Linked DNA regions of Sus scrofa. The main gene of each other region encodes a partner of the protein of the gene in region 2 in a complex. Links are inferred from orthologs where the notes say so. Each region holds a gene or a part of one and is shown on either strand. Other genes may lie near its edges. The genes, in order: SCT and SCTR.

Region 1 (7,358 bases), on a different chromosome or scaffold from region 2:
TCAGGGATGACGGTGGCTTTCACTTTGGTGTCCTGGGGGATGGAGGAGTGTTGGTCTGACCACGCCCCTGACCGGGTGGACCGGTCTCCAGGGTCAAGTGCCTGGCCACTGACCTTCTACCCTCTGGGCCCCACCCTGGGGCTCCTGCCGCTGCTCCCTCCCACTCACCTCGGGCACCCCCCATTGCTTGGTCTTGTAGGGAAACACGGGCGGGTTGTCGTTGACATCCAGCACAGACACAAACACCCTCAGCTGGGTCACCTGGGGGAGAGAGGAGGGCCCCCGCGCCAGCAGAGTGACTCACGCTGGGAGCTGGGCTGCAGCTCCCAAGACAGCTCTCTGCCTGGGGCGCCTGCCCCACCAGCGATTACAGACAAGGAACAAAACCCAACTGACAAAGCACAGAAGGTGCAGCTGCCCTGGAGAAAAATAACACAGGACTGGGGGTGTGACCAGCAAAATCTCGAATGAGGAAAATGGCCACCCCGTGGAATGTCTTCAAACATAAATCTCAGAGACAATCGGGAAGCCCGTAGATTGAAAGAAACGTGAGACAGACATCAGCCGGTTGCATTAGGTGGGCCTTGCCTGGGTCTTGATTCCAACAGGAGGCTGGAGCTGGGGCGGATAGTGGGAGGGGAGGCTGGGGACCCCCGGCCTCTTTGAGGGCTGGCGCTCTTGTGCCAATGGCCAAGAAGAAGCATCCTTTATTTCTAGGGGCTCATCTAGAGGTATCTAGAGGCGGGTGGTATGCTGTGCTGTCGGGTCGGGCGCTCACAGGGCTCAGGGGAAGCTGCTGAATGGCAGGTGCAGGAGGCTGCGGGGGAGGAGCCTCTCTGCGGAGAGGCCTCAGATATGGGGAAGGTGGAGCTTGAGGCAGAGCCAACAGATTTGCTGGAGCAGGGGTGTGGGTGGGGGGCGGGAGTGAGGGCTGGGCTGCAGGGCCGGGCACCTCTGGGGGTGGGGGGCTTGGATCTCGGGTCAGGGCTGTCCTCTCCTTCCGGAGCCGGGGTTGGGAGTCTGTGGCTCAGGCAGAGTCTGGACTGAAGAGAGTGTGGGTGTCGCCAGCACAGGGCGACACTTGAAAATATACCAGTGGGTGAGGTCACCAGGGAGTGACCGTGGACCAGGCGGAGCAGAGCACAGAGGTCCAAACAGAGTGCCCTGACGTCGCGGGTGAGGGTGGGGCGGGGGGGGGCGGACTCACCACAGTGTCCCCTCTCTTGCACTCCAGGTGTGCCTGCAGCATCGAGTTCTCCTGTGGGGGCGGGTGGGTGCTGGGGGTCACCCGGTCCGCTGGCCGCGGCACACAGTCCCCATTTCACAGGTGAGGAGACTGAGGCCGACCTTTGTTTAGGGCCCCCATCACCCAGGCTGGGTCCAGAGGCCATCGGGCCCAATCGGTTTCCCTCAGGGCAGCCCTCAGCCAAGCCTGGGGCCCAAGAGGCCCCCTGGGGACACTGAGACCTATAGGTCCCCAGAAGGCCCATCCCTGGGAGGAATGCGTGTGCCCACACGGCCCCTTGGGGGTCCGCTGCCCCGCCGCCCTCAGGGGCCCCACCAGCCCCGCCTCCACCAGTACCTCGTAGTCCGGAGTTATGTTGAGAAAGAGCTGAGTCCCCCGGATGCGAAAGGCAAAGAGAGTGGACGAGGGTCCGAGGGTCACCTGCTGGTCCTCGGGGACATAGATGTCCAGCAGGGGCGCGCTGAGAGTCGTGTTCTCCTCGATCTCGAAGAAGGTCTGGTTCACAGAGCAGACTGGAAGTGGACGGAGGGTCAGTGCCCTCCAGCCCCCGTGGCCGCCCAGCCCCGCCCCCAGCCCCGCTGCCGCCCCCAGTACCCTGGGCCTGGGCTGTGGCCACGAGCAGCAGGAGCAGCAGGGGCCAGGTCCCCATCTCGGCAGCAGACAGCCCAGGGGCGGGTCCAAGCCTGCCTGGCGTCCAGGACCCTCTGAGCACCGTGGTGCTGGCGCAGAAGCTCCAACTGGGTGACCTTCGGCCCTGCCAGGCACCGCCCCACTTTATGAGCCCTTAGGCCCGGGAGGACCGGCCTCCACCAAGGGGACTCCCGCCGGCCGCCCGCCAGGCCTAGCCTAGCGCCAGGAGGGGCCACACGTGGGGGCTGCCGGGCTCCACCCACAGACCCCGAGCCAGGCAGGCTCCAAGGGCTGCCGGGGCTCCAGGGCCTGCGCAGTGGGGGCTCCAGGCGGTGGGGGGGGTGCGCGGGGAGGGGGGTCTGTGTTTGCTACCCTCCCCCACAGCCGGGCCCTGTTCCTAAGCCAGTCCCCTGAGATTCAGACCGTAGCGTTTCCGCGCCAGGCCCATCTCTCCTCCCCCAGCCAACCCTCTCGGTCTGGAAGGGAAGGGCTGTGCCCTCCAGACGCCCCTGCGGTTCCAGAAACACGCAGGCTTCCTCCAGGGGCTGGGCAGGGTCACAGTGACACAGATGGCACTGCTTCAGGGGGCAGCTGGGAGCTCCTGGGCGACCCTGGGTCCCAGCAGAGGGGGTTCTTGGTGTGGCTCCCTGGCCCAGGCCCCAGCGACCCCACCTCCATCTCTCCTTGGGCTCCCTGAGCCCAGCGCTGGGAGAGGCCACCCGGTGGGGCTGGGAGGAAGGGCAGGGGCTGCTGTGAAGGCAGAGCCTCTCCTGCCTCCAGGCCTGGAACACCTTCCCCAAAGTTCCAGGCCTGTGCCCGGCGTCCTACAGGACTTCCTGGGCTGTCAACACTGTCCCTTCTGCACAGGCTCTGAGTCAAGCCACTCGTCCGAGAGCACAGAACCCGAAAGGGAGCCAAGACACAGCTCAGGTCCTTTCACTGGGGTGTGGCCTCCTGGGTGACACCCCCTGTCTGTCACCTCTTCCTGCTGGGCCACAAGGCCCCAGAGCAGGAGCTGGGGGACATCTGAGCCTTTGCTGCACAGACGACCAGGGCGCGGATGGGGCAGGCGATAAGGAAGCGCTCCCCCCTGGCTCCCCAGGCTGAAAGGGCAGCTGGGCGTGGCCACGGTCCAGGCCTCCTTCCCTCTGACAGCGCTCCCCTGCGGGGGCTTCCTCGGTGGTACCCAGATGGCGCACAGCATGGAGCGGGCTCGCAGGGCCGGGATGAATTTCTCCTTTATTGATGCCAAGAGCAACCCTTACTCCCCCCCACCCTGCCCCTCCGCCAGGCTCCCCTTGTCCATGGAGGAAAGCTCCTTCTTCCTCAGGGTGGCATCGGGGACCCCTCCGCAGCAGGGATGGCTGGTTCTGACACCAGGGCCCCAGCCCTCAGTCCAGGAGGCAGCCAGGGAGACCAGGCCTGATCCACTGGGGGCTTCATGGGCATCCTGCAGAGACAGCCAGGTTAGGGGCGGCAGCCCGAGACCTCTGCACCTGGGGAAACCGAGCCTCCTCTGGTCACCAGCGCTGACAGTTTCACCTTCCCAGACCCCTGGCCCATGGCCGTGTCCAGTTGCTGGCCCAGGGAGGGAAGGGCTGGGCGTTGGGGCTGGCGCTCACCAGGCCTGCAGGGCGGGCATGTGGGACCACAGCTGGCAGAGGCGGTCCTCCCCAGACTTGGTCCAGGCCGTGTTGTTCTCCGGATCCTGCTGGCTGCCCCCCACCCCAAGTCAGAATTAGTCCGCAGTTGGGAGCGGGCCACCGTTCCCGCGGGGCTCCCCGCCGCCCCTCACCTGCGCTTCCCCACCAGGCCCTGCAGCAGCCGCTGCAGCCGCGCGCTGTCCCGCAGGCGGCTGAGCTCGCTCGTGAACGTCCCGTCCGAGTGTCGCGGGGCCCTGCGGAGGGGGCGGCGGGCGGGTCAGGGCCAGGCCGGGGTGCAGGCCGAGCGGCGGGCGGGCCGGGGTCCGCGGGCTCACCTGGGGGGCGCGGGGCGCGCGGCGCAGCCCGCGAGCAGCAGTAGCGGCGGCAGCAGCAGCAGCAGCAGCAGGGCCCGCGTGGCCATGGTGGGCGCGCCGGCGGGGGCTAAGCGGGCGCCGGACCGCGGCCCCTTTATAGCGGAGCCGCCGGGGCACCGCGCCGCGCCCCATCGATCGCGCGGGAAGGTCAGGGCCGCCCCCCCAGCTGTCGCCCCGGCTGCCTGCCCGCCCGCACCGCCGCGGTGGCGCCCCGCTGGGGTCGGGCGCCCCGGGAGCGAGGGGGACACCGCGGGCGGGGGAGGGCTGGCGCTTCCTGCAGGGGAACAGCCTGTGCAAAGCCTCGGGCTTCCCGGAGCCGCCACGGACGCTTAGGAGGCCGAGCAGAGCCCCGGCCAGGATGCGCGGAGGGCCCGGGGCGGGCAGTCGCGGGGGCAGGGCTGGGACCAAGGCCAAAGCCGCCGAAGCTGCGGACCGAGTGACCTTTCCCCACTGCGGGGCGTGGGGCTCCGGGAGAAGAGGAGCGGGGAGCGGCGGGCAGGTGGCGCACGGGCCGCGCAAGAGGGGGCCTCGCCCCCCCCCCCCGCCCCCGCGTTTGTTCGCGTTTTTGTTTTGTTTTGTTTTGTTTTGCTGCCTTTTTCAGGGCGGCATGTGGAGGTTTCCAGACTAGGGGTCGAATCGGAACTGTAGCCGCCGGCCTACATACACCACAGCCACAGCAACCCCAGATCCGAGCCACATTTGCAACCTACACCCCAGCTCCTGGCAGCGCCAGATTCTTGACCCACTGGGCGAGGTCAGGGATCGAACCCGCAACCTCATGGTTCCTAGTGGGATTCATTTCCACTGCGCCACGACGGGAATTCCAATTAGTAGACTTTTTTTAGAGCAGTTTGGGTTTACAGAAAAATGGAGCTGAAAGTACATGGACCTCTCTCTCAAACACACACACACACACACACACACACACACACACTTGCTGGCACACCAAAGGCTTCCTCAGCACTGGACACTCATTTGGGACATTTGTTACAACTGATGGACCAATACTGACACATTGCTATTAACCAAATCCATGCTCTGCAGTAGGGTCCATCTTGGTATTGCACATCCTGTGGGTTTTAACAAATGTGCCCTGACACGTGTCCGCCCGGATAGAGGGCGGTGCGCCGAGCGTTTCTCGGCCCTAAAACCCCCCTGGGCCACCTGTTCATCCCTCCCCCAGCCACTGATCCTTTTACGCTCTCCACCGTTTTACTGCCTCCAGAATGTCACAGAGCTGGATCCCACAGTGCGTGGCCTCTTCTCATTGGCTTCTTTCGCTTAGTGTTGTGTGTTACGGTGCCTCCTCGTCCTTCCGTGGCCCGATAGCTCTTTTATTTTTAGCACTGAATAATATTTCACGATCTGAGGCGCCAGTTAATCTGCTCACCTGAGGAACATCTCGGAGGTCTCAATGTCTTGGAGATTATGACAGAAGATGCTCCGAACAGCCAGGCGCAGGGGTTTGTGTGGGCATAAGTTTTCAGCTCCTCTGGGTCAGCAGCAGGGACCGCGACTGCAGGCTCACACGGCTTGAGTATGATTTTCCTTGGGGGAAACCACCAGACCATCTTCCAAAGGACTGAACAAGTCTGCATTCACACCAGGGCAGGCATGTTGGTATCTCGTTGTTTCCGTACACGTATTTTTTTTTTTTTTTTTTTTTGGCCAAGCCCACAGCTTGCAGAAGTTTCCAGGCCAGGAGTCATAGCAGTGACAACGTTGGATCCTTAAGCTGCTGAACAACCAGGGAGTTCCCGTATACGTATTTTTAAACAGCTTCTTTGGCCTCTTCTTGCACAAATTAGGCAGATTAAAGCCTGTAATAAACTGTAACACCGTTGACACTGACCCGTTAATTCCAGTCGCAAGAACACTCCCAACACCAAGTACTGATGTAACCGGTCGATTTCTTAGCACCTCAGACACTTATGCGACCAGACAGAACATCACAGGAAAAACCTTCCTGCTAAAAAGAGTGAGGCGTTCTCGCTGTGGCCCAGCAGGTTAAGAACCCAGCCTAGCATCCAAAACCAAAGACCAAAAGCCTCGTTCGACCCTTGGACGGCAGGAGAGCCCCAGAGAGGCCCAGGACGTGAACCCCTGCTCCGGCCTCATCGCACACCCAGATCCGCTCCTGTGGGTGCCTGGTCCAAGCCTCCACGCAGACCGCGCTCTGTGGGCCGGCCCATCCCGATAATTGCTGGTTTCAGGGACGGGATCCTACGAAAGAACGAGCAGCTTTATTTTCTGAGTGGAACGTAGGAGGGAGCACATTCGAAACACAGTTTGATTCTCTGAACAGCAACGTGCAAAAAATATTGTCTCTACTCCTTTCTTGTTTTACTCATTTGTTTAATCTTTTCTTTCTTTCTTTCTTTCTTTCTTTCTTTCTTTCTTTCTTTCTTTCTTTCTTTCTTTCTTTCTTTCTTTTTCTGGGAAAGTTCTGGGAACTCCAGAACTGCTGTTTTAACCAAGATTTAAATGTCAAACCTCAGGGAGCTCCCGTCGTGGCGCAGTGGTTAACGAATCCGACTAGGAACCACGAGGTTGCAGGTTCGATCCCTGGCCTTGCTCAGCGGGTTAAGGATCCAGCGTTGCCCTGAGCTGTGGTGTAGGTCGCAGGTGTGGCTCGGATCTGGCATTGCTGTGGCTCTGGCGTAGGCTGGTGGCTCTGGCTCCGATTAGACCCCTAGCCTGGGAACCTCCAGATGCCGCGGGAGCAACCCTAGAAAAGGCAAAAAGACAAAAAAACCCCAAAATGTCAAACCTCAGTTATTTGTGTCTGCTCTTGGTTCTCCGTGGCAAGTGTTGAAGGAGGGTGCTGGAAACACCTGCTTCTTCCAGATCACAACCCCTCTCCTGTTGCCCGCTTCCCTCGGGGCTGCGGACTCCCGGGGACTTACATTATGTTCAGCTGAACCCACTCTGTTACTGTGGTTCCAGGCCCGGCTTTGGGGATGTGGGCCTGGAATCCACAGTAATATGGTGTGGCCTTACGGTGGCCTGAGTGGACACTATCTCTTAATGACTAGAAAGAGAAACCTAGGTTTTATTATTGTAGAGAATTAAAAACACACAAAAGTAGGCGTTCCCTGGTGGCGCCATGGCTAAAGGATCTGATGTCGTCACTACAGCAGCGGAGGAGGCTGCTGTGGCGAGAGTTCCGTCCCCTGCCTGGAAACTCTTCCATATGCCAAGGCGTCAGCCAAGAAAAAAGGAGGAGAAGCCATCGCCAAATCCGAGGTCATAGAGATCGGCCCCTATATGTTCTTCTGAGGGTTTCGTAGTTTTGAATCCTTATTAAAGTCTCGGATTCCTCTCGAGTTCACTTTTGTGTGGGTGTGTTTGTGTGGGGGTGGGCTAGGGCTCACCTCCATGGCTTTGCACGGGGATGTCCGCGTGTCCCAACACCTCCTACTGAAGAAACTCCTCTCTCCCCACCAAACAGTCAGGGCACCTTGT
Region 2 (7,445 bases):
CTCTGAGCTCTGCTCAGGAGGTCCTGCAGGTGGGCAGCTGCAGTGGCTCATGATTCAGTCCGTGTAAAGGCAGGCAGATGGCAAGTGATGGCAAGTGCCAATTTCCTGTTCACACATCATATTAACCAAGGAGAGCAAATGTCCCTCATAGAGGCCTGGAGGATTGGCTATGATAACATTTCAAATTATTAAAAGACTCCCCAGCACGTGGCAGGTATTAAATATAGTGTTAGGGAGTTCCCTTTGTGGCTCAGCGGAAACGAATCCAACTAGTAACCATGAGGATGCAGGTTTGATCCCTGGCCTTGTGTTGGGGATCCAGCGTTGCCACACGTGGCTTGGATCCTGCATTGCTGTGGCTGTGGCTGTGGCCGGCAGCTGTAGCTCCAATTGGACCCCTAGCCTGGGAACCTCCGTATGCCAAGGGTTCGGCCCTAAAAAGCAAAAAAAAAAAAAAAAAAAAAAAAAAAAAGTGTTAGTTTCCTAGCCTTCCCTTTCCACCCTTATTATGAAATTGTTTTCTCTGGCAGGTTTTACAAAGCCACTAACTGCATCTACAGCTTCCCACAGGGCACTTCTGATCCTTTTCTCAAAATACGCTGAGAGACACAGCCTCCTATTTAAAGACAAATGGCTTGCCACAGGTTAGAACTTTATTGAATTGCCCAGAACAAATTTCCTTTTGCTTTTTCACTGGAGATCACAAGGGTCCAATATAGAGCACAAATTACCTTGTTTTCTTTTTATGTCTTTCCATCAAAAAAGCAATAGAGACTGTGCTTATAGAAAATATTCAAGCAACACGAAAGTCTATACAGTAAAAATGGCAAGTTCTTACCTCACGCACTTTCTAATGCACATTTAGGGTGTCAGAATTTAGGGGACCCAGTTAATAATATTTTTTCCAGTCTCAATCTTGAACCAACAGGGAAACAAGATTAACACAGATGGGACCCTGTATCACTTTTATTAGTGATAATGCTGGTCTTGGAGAATGTGGTGTATACTTGTGGGCAAGCGGGTTTATTAGTGCTGTTTGTCTTAGAGAATGTGGTTTACACTTGTGGGCCAGAATTAGATAAATCACCTCCTGCCACTGGCTATGCTGGATCAAGGCAGTCAGAACCTTGACCTCCAATGGCAGCCTGGCCCAGGGCCATCTAGGTACAGGCTCTCTGCTGGTGGGAGTGCTGTGAAAGGCAAGAAGTGTGTGTGTGTATGTGTGTGTGTGTGTGTGTGTGTAACCTCATGCCAGTCCTCACCCCAAAGCATCAATCATGTAGAGTTTGCCTCACCTTCACATGTGGGGGAGGGGGGTTAATGAGGGGTAGAGAGAGGAAGATTACATGACCTCCTTCCTGCTTTCTGCTGCTCGAATAGTGCTTCTAACAAACTTGTGCATATTTCATTGGGCCTTTGGGTAAGTACTTCTACAGCAAAAGTTCCTAAAAGTGACTTAGTGGTTATGCACATATTAGGTTGACATGGACTGAATGTTGACTGCGGACCTGGGAGAACTAAAGCCATTTATCCTCCTTCTATTTTTTTAGGACCATACCGGAGGCATATGGAAGTTCCCAGGCTAGGGGTCGAATTGGAGCTACAGCTGCCAGCCTACACCACAGCCACAGCAACACCAGATCTGAGCCATGTCTGCGACCAACGGATCCCCGACCCACTGATCAAACCCGCATCCTCACGGATACTAGTTGGATTCATTTCTGCTGCACCACAATGGGAACTTCCTCCCCCCATCTATTTCTGCTATGGTTTATCAACCTCACCTCACTTGAGCAATAGCATCTTCAGTAGGGAAGGCTGCTAAAGGCTCCAGTAAGTTACTTTTTTTAGAGCCACACCCAAGGCATACGGAGTTTCCCAGGCTAGGGGTCAAATCGGAGCTACAGCTGCTGGCCTATGCCCCAGCCACAGCAACATGGGATCTGAGCCACCTCTGGGACCTACACTACAGCTCACAGCAACGCCAGATCATTAATCCACTGAGAAAGGCCAGGGATTGAACCTGCAACCTAATTGTTCCTAGACAGATTCGTTTCTGGTGGGCAAGGACGGGAACTCTGAGTAAATTACTTTAATAGCTGCTAAGTAGTCTGACCAGAGGCTAGCCACTCAGAGTTAGGGTCAGCCAGAGGTGTGTAGATCCAGGCTTTTCCCCTCTGACCTTCTGAGTCACATGTACCTGGTGACATCACTGGTCTTCCTCCACCCTCAATGCCCTCCTGTCTAACAGGCATAAAACCACCCAGGGGTTTGGAGAGAATTCAAAGGCTGATGTTCTTAAAGTGCCTGGGAGAAAGATGAAGGAGAGACGGAAAGATGAAGGAGGATATGGAAGAGGCATCAGGGCTGAGAAAGGAAAAAAACGGGTCTAACACCGAGGGGCCAAAAGCCAACCTCCAGGACTTCTGAGCACTCAGACTCAGGATGAACAATACTGAGCTATCTCCCTGTTGCTTAAATGACCTCCCGGAACCACAAAGCTTCCGGGGGTTCATCTTTAGCCCAGCTCCCAACGCCTGGGGCCAGTTGGTGGTTCTTGGTCTCATTTGATCATCAAAGCCTTCTCAGTGTGATGGAGCTCACGGGTGTAAATAAAACTTTCTGGAATGAGCATGTGTAGCTAATGGGAAAGAAATATGAAGTGAAAATTCGAAATGGAATAGCTGATGGGCAGAATGGATGCTACAGGGCTTTCCTGAGCACTCCTCTACATCACAGGACACTAACACAACCTCCCTACGTCCCGAAGGCGGGTATCATCAGATGTGTTGTTCCAGAGAACACTGAGGCTCAAAAAGGTGGCCTTCGTCGCGCGTCGCATGCAGCAAAGCGGTGGCGGGACTGACCCAGCCCTTAGGAGCGAGCTCTTTCAGTCCGAGGGGGTGTGGCAGCTGCAAGGCCGAGCCCGCGTGCTCGCTCCCGGTCTCCTCCCCCCACTGCCAAGCCTGCGGGAACCAGCTCCCCGCCTGAGCCCTCCCGCCCTGCTCCCCCGCCGGCCTCCGCGCCGGCCCCCAGCCAGTCCCAACTAGGTGGAGGAGCGCCGGCTGCGTCGCGCGTACTTATCAACCCGGCCCGGCGGCATAGCGCGTGCGGCCGCCTCGTGGGAGGAAGCGCGGTCCGGGGGTGGGGTGGAGTGCCCCAGTCATGGCTTTTCAGGGCGCAGCGCCCGGCCCGGGTCCGAGCGCCTGCGGGGGACGCTAAGCCCCAGAACTGGCTATGCGAGCGGGCTGGCGGCCGTCCGGGCGCCGAGGGAGCGCACGGGGCACCATGCGCCTCCGCCTGTCGCCGCTGCTGCTGCTCACCTGCGCTGCGCACACGGTGAGTACGCACGTCGCCGCCGGCCCCATGCGGGATGGGGGGTGAACGGAGACCCCCAGGATCCTCTGCTGAGGAGCGGGAACCCTTCCTCTGCATCCGTCCCCACCAACAACGATCCCCTCCTCTCCAGAGGCCGCTTCCTCCAAAATAAAAACAGCGTGTGCCCAGGAGAAGGTGGTCCTAAGATAAACCCCCTTGCCCTCCACCCACCCCTTCCTCCAAGCTGCGCCCCCGACCCCCTCCTAGAGAGCAATTCTGGAGCTGCCCCTGGCCATGCCTTTTGTGTGCTGGGCACTTTGCCTGCATTATCTCATTGAAACCTTATCATCGCCTTTCAAGGTTGATATTATCACCCTCACTTTACTGACAAGGAAACGGACACTTGGAAAGACCAAATATCTTGGCCCAAGAAAAGACAATTGGAACCCAATCCGTCTGCCCCCAAAGCCTTGACATTTTCACACACGCTGCCCAGCTGAGGATGGGAAAACGTCCGAAAGCTCTGACTGCAGCTGCCGGGTCTGTGATGGGACTGCTTGGCGCTCCCTGCCTCCTTTCTCCTGTGGGTTTGGCTCCCCAATGTCTGTATGTCTGGGGACTCCTGGGAGCGGCTGGTCTCCGCAAACCAGATCCTAGGAGGAGCTGGAAGAGAAAAGAGAAGGCAGCAGAGTGGGTGGCTTGTTTTTTCTCTCCCTCAGAAACTCTGGGGAATCCTGGTCCTCTCCCTGGGGGATTCCTGACTGAGAGAGGCAGACAGGCCTGATGGAAGCAATGCGGAGGGGTTCTTGGGGTGGGCTGTGGGCGTGCAGATTCCAGAACAACTCATTTCCACCCACCTTCCAAACTAGGCTTCCAAGAAACTCCCCAGGGAAAACGCTTGGTAACCCAATTCTGAGTCTTATCTCTGTCCTGGGCAAGTCCTCCCTGGTGTCCAATGACCTTATCTTTCCTGTCCTCCTTGATTATAAGAAAAATCTGCTTGGAGTTCCCGCTGTGGCACAACAGGATCGGCACCCTCTTGGGATCGCTGGGATGCATCGGATCCCTGCCTGGACGCAGTGGGTTAAGGATCCGGAGTTGCCGTAGCTGCAACTTAGTTCTCCACTGCCCCTCCACTGCCCCTCGGATCTGATCCCTGGCCAGGTGGGGCAGCCAAAAATAAATAAATAAATAAATAAAAATTTTTAAAAGGAAGAAAAAGAAAAACCTGCTTCCTGAGCTGATGGGAGCATTGACCCTCAGGAGGGGCCCAAGACCTTCCAGAGTGGGGGTTGAGGCTCTTGTTCCCAGCTCTCTTGTAACCTTGGAGCCTCTTATCCTTGGTGCTGGCGTTGGAAAGTGCTAGGGCAACAGCACCCACTCATTCCTCTGAGCTCTCAATTTGGGGAAGTGCCACCTGAGACACTGAGTGAGTTCAAAACCAAATGCAGCCAGGAGGTGTGCTGTTATTCAGTGCCCAATGGGAGGCAGCAGCTCCTCTTCGTGACACCCCACGCCCACGCCCAGCCTCCTTTTAAAGTATTTCCAGTAACTTCTGCTGTCAGAAGAAATCAACAGGTGGCTGGGCTTCAGGACTGAGGTTCAACCTACATTTTAATCTCAAGAGGACCTCTGTGTTATCCGGAATAAACAGAGGGGGAAAAGAGAGGCTTCACTGGGTTCAAGGCTTCCATGTGCCTTCATCACACCCTGGTCCAATTTCCTCTTTTTACAGGGGAGCAAACTGAAACCCACAGAAAGTGGGGGCCTGCTTCACATCAGCAGGTTTGTGGTAGCGCTGGGACTGGACTCCAGATCTCGCGACGCCTAGCCCCCTAGGGCTCCATCCATGACGTCCATGATGTCCCTTGTCATTACACATCATTTTCATCCACTCCTATACTGCTTTGTGCTACATGGTTCCCTGTGGGTACATCTTGGTTCTCTGGTTATTTTATGGGCTTATCCAGACCTGAGGGTCACACTTGGTAGAGAACTCCTTCAATAAATAGGAATGGAACTGACCTACTTCAGCTGGAGTATCTCCCAGCCTATAAAACCCTACTTTTATTCTGTTTGACTCTGAGTGGTCAGACATTTGATTTTGAAATTTAAGGGTATTCAAGTAATTCTTTATTCATTTGGGGCTTGCTCTTGAGGGAAATCATAGGCATCTTCCTAATGAGGGGAGGTTGATAAGTCCAAATCGCTTATTACTACTCCCCCCACCCCCACTACCACTGTCACCTTCCCATATAGGGCACGTCAGGAAGCTCCCTTACACGTGGACTAAAAGGTGATGGTGCTTGAGGGGGAAGTTTTCTGAGCCCTCCATTGGAAGCCCTGGCCACACCTCCCTTTACTGTGCCCCCTCCGTGTATCTCATGAGGACTTTTACCTGCAACAGTATTGTAATTATTTACCAGCACATCTGTCCTCTCCAGTACATTCACTTTGATCTTGAGCTCTGAGACTTTGCCTTGTTCATCTTTATCCCTAGAGCCTGTCAGTGCGAGAGGGACCTTGATGAGTGCATGTGGGTTGAATGGATGAATGAAATGATGATGCTACCCATAGTGGACGGTCTTAAGCTGGGGCAGTTTCCTATAGCAACAAGTAATGAAGAATGACACCCTGAAAGCAATCATTGCTTACCACATTGTACAAAAATGTGTCAAGCAAAGGAGAAGGAGTCGCTCAAGGTAGGGCTCTTTAAGCCAAAGCACCTGGCAAACTGCCAACCCGATAACCTTAGTGGGTTAAGTGGGGCACAGGGCTGCTTTTTCCTTCAAGCAGGATTTCTTAGCTTTGACACTAATTCTGAATCTTAATCCCAGGCTTTCCACAAGGGGTGACAGGAAGAGAGCCAGGCCCTCCCTTGACATGAGAGAGAATGATAGGATGGGGACGGTGGGGACAGGGCAGAGAGAGGGGTAGGCAGATAATTATTGCTGGGGGGCTGTCCTGTGCATTGAATGCTACCCACAGAATCCCTGGATTCTACCTACCAGAAGCCATTAGTATCTCTTCAAGCTGTGCCAACAGGAAGTGTCTCCAGACATTGCCAAATGCCCTCTGGGAGCAGGGAGGGCAAAACTGCCCCAGTTGAGAACCATTGCCTTAAAGGTTGTTATGTTTCAGGGTAAATGCATGAACAGGATTCATACCAGGTGTTCACTGGATGTTGGATTCAGGGTAGGGGGTGTTGGTGGCAGGGTGTCTGAGTCAGAGGACAGAAACAGGTGCACCCGATGAAAACCCATATCCAGACAAGGTGACTTCCCCAGGGCCTGGGTTCATTGGTCTTTGCCCCCGCTCCCTTTTCACTCTCCCCTCTCCATCCCACTCCTTTTCTGTTGATGGCTCAGAAACACACAAACTCCAAGGATGGGGTCCGACACATAGAATCTTCCAGCCCGTGGTGGTCCCTGCTCCTCTCAGGGTGCCTCTGGGTCCAGAGGCTGACAAGCTCTGTGGCAGCTTGGTGAGCAGAGTTCTCAGAAGCCTGCAAAGATCACCTGAGGGGGGCTGGCCACTGATACGCCTTAGGGGAAAGTTGCTGGTATTTTTGTATCCCTCAACAGTCACTTTCAATTTTCTGAGGAAGTATTTGTGGATTTCTGTTTACGTTTTTTACTCTCCCTAAAATTAATGTGACTGATGATGAAGATGAAGATGATGATGATGATGATGGGAAAGGCTTCTCTTACTGAACACTTATTTCACACCAGATCCTCAGCTGAGTCCTTCCCAGCACTGCCTGATTTCTGTCTCACATCAGCAGTCACCTTTATTGTGCAGATGAAGAAACTAAGGCTCAGAGAGGTGAAGCCGTTTGTCAAGGTTACCCAGCTAGCTAGACACAGTGGCGGGAGATCTCAAACCCAGGTGTTCCTACCCAGTACATGCACCTGCTCCCAGAGGCAGAGGCCTGCTCTGGCTTCTGGTGCCCAAGGGGCTGTCATAAAATTCTCTCCCAAACCGCAAAATGACAGTAATTTCAGTTTAATCTAATCACTTTATAAAACAAATATTGAAATTATACAGAGCGTTTTATGGAGAGGGCCAGAGATGAGCTTGGGGTCATGGAATCAAACAAACAGGAGGTCCTCTTCCCATACTGTTTA

The links.
Region 1: the proteins of SCTR (region 2) and SCT are in contact, whole or in part, in a cryo-EM structure (PDB 6WZG), measured with the Homo sapiens proteins. The link is inferred for Sus scrofa from reciprocal best matches to the Homo sapiens genes SCTR and SCT. Residues at the interface, in NP_002971.2 of Homo sapiens: Arg30, Leu31, Cys32, Leu35, Asp71, Asn72, Pro117, Val125, Val127, Asn128, Asp129, Asn132, Arg135, His136, Leu139, Leu140, Leu142, Lys143, Tyr146, Tyr150, Arg188, Asn192, Lys195, Leu199, Phe200, Ser202, Asp203, Val205, Met219, Phe222; in NP_068739.1 of Homo sapiens: His28, Ser29, Asp30, Gly31, Thr32, Phe33, Thr34, Ser35, Glu36, Leu37, Ser38, Arg39, Leu40, Arg41, Glu42, Arg45, Leu46, Gln47, Arg48, Leu49, Leu50, Leu53, Val54.

Annotation. Positions count from the first base shown.
Region 1 is NC_010444.4:380,703-388,060, forward strand, and holds SCT (secretin), read right to left. Parts: upstream 4,381-7,358; 5' UTR 3,941-4,380; coding exon 3,855-3,940; intron 3,774-3,854; coding exon 3,672-3,773; intron 3,592-3,671; coding exon 3,499-3,591; intron 3,327-3,498; coding exon 3,203-3,326; 3' UTR 2,081-3,202; downstream 1-2,080. Other genes in the region: CDHR5 (cadherin-related family member 5), read right to left, coding at 1-32, 169-261, 1,208-1,258, 1,583-1,758, 1,841-1,895. UniProt on the Homo sapiens protein: Hormone involved in different processes, such as regulation of the pH of the duodenal content, food intake and water homeostasis.
Region 2 is NC_010457.5:31,704,729-31,712,173, forward strand, and holds the start of SCTR (secretin receptor precursor), read left to right. Parts: upstream 1-3,288; coding exon 3,289-3,339; intron 3,340-7,445.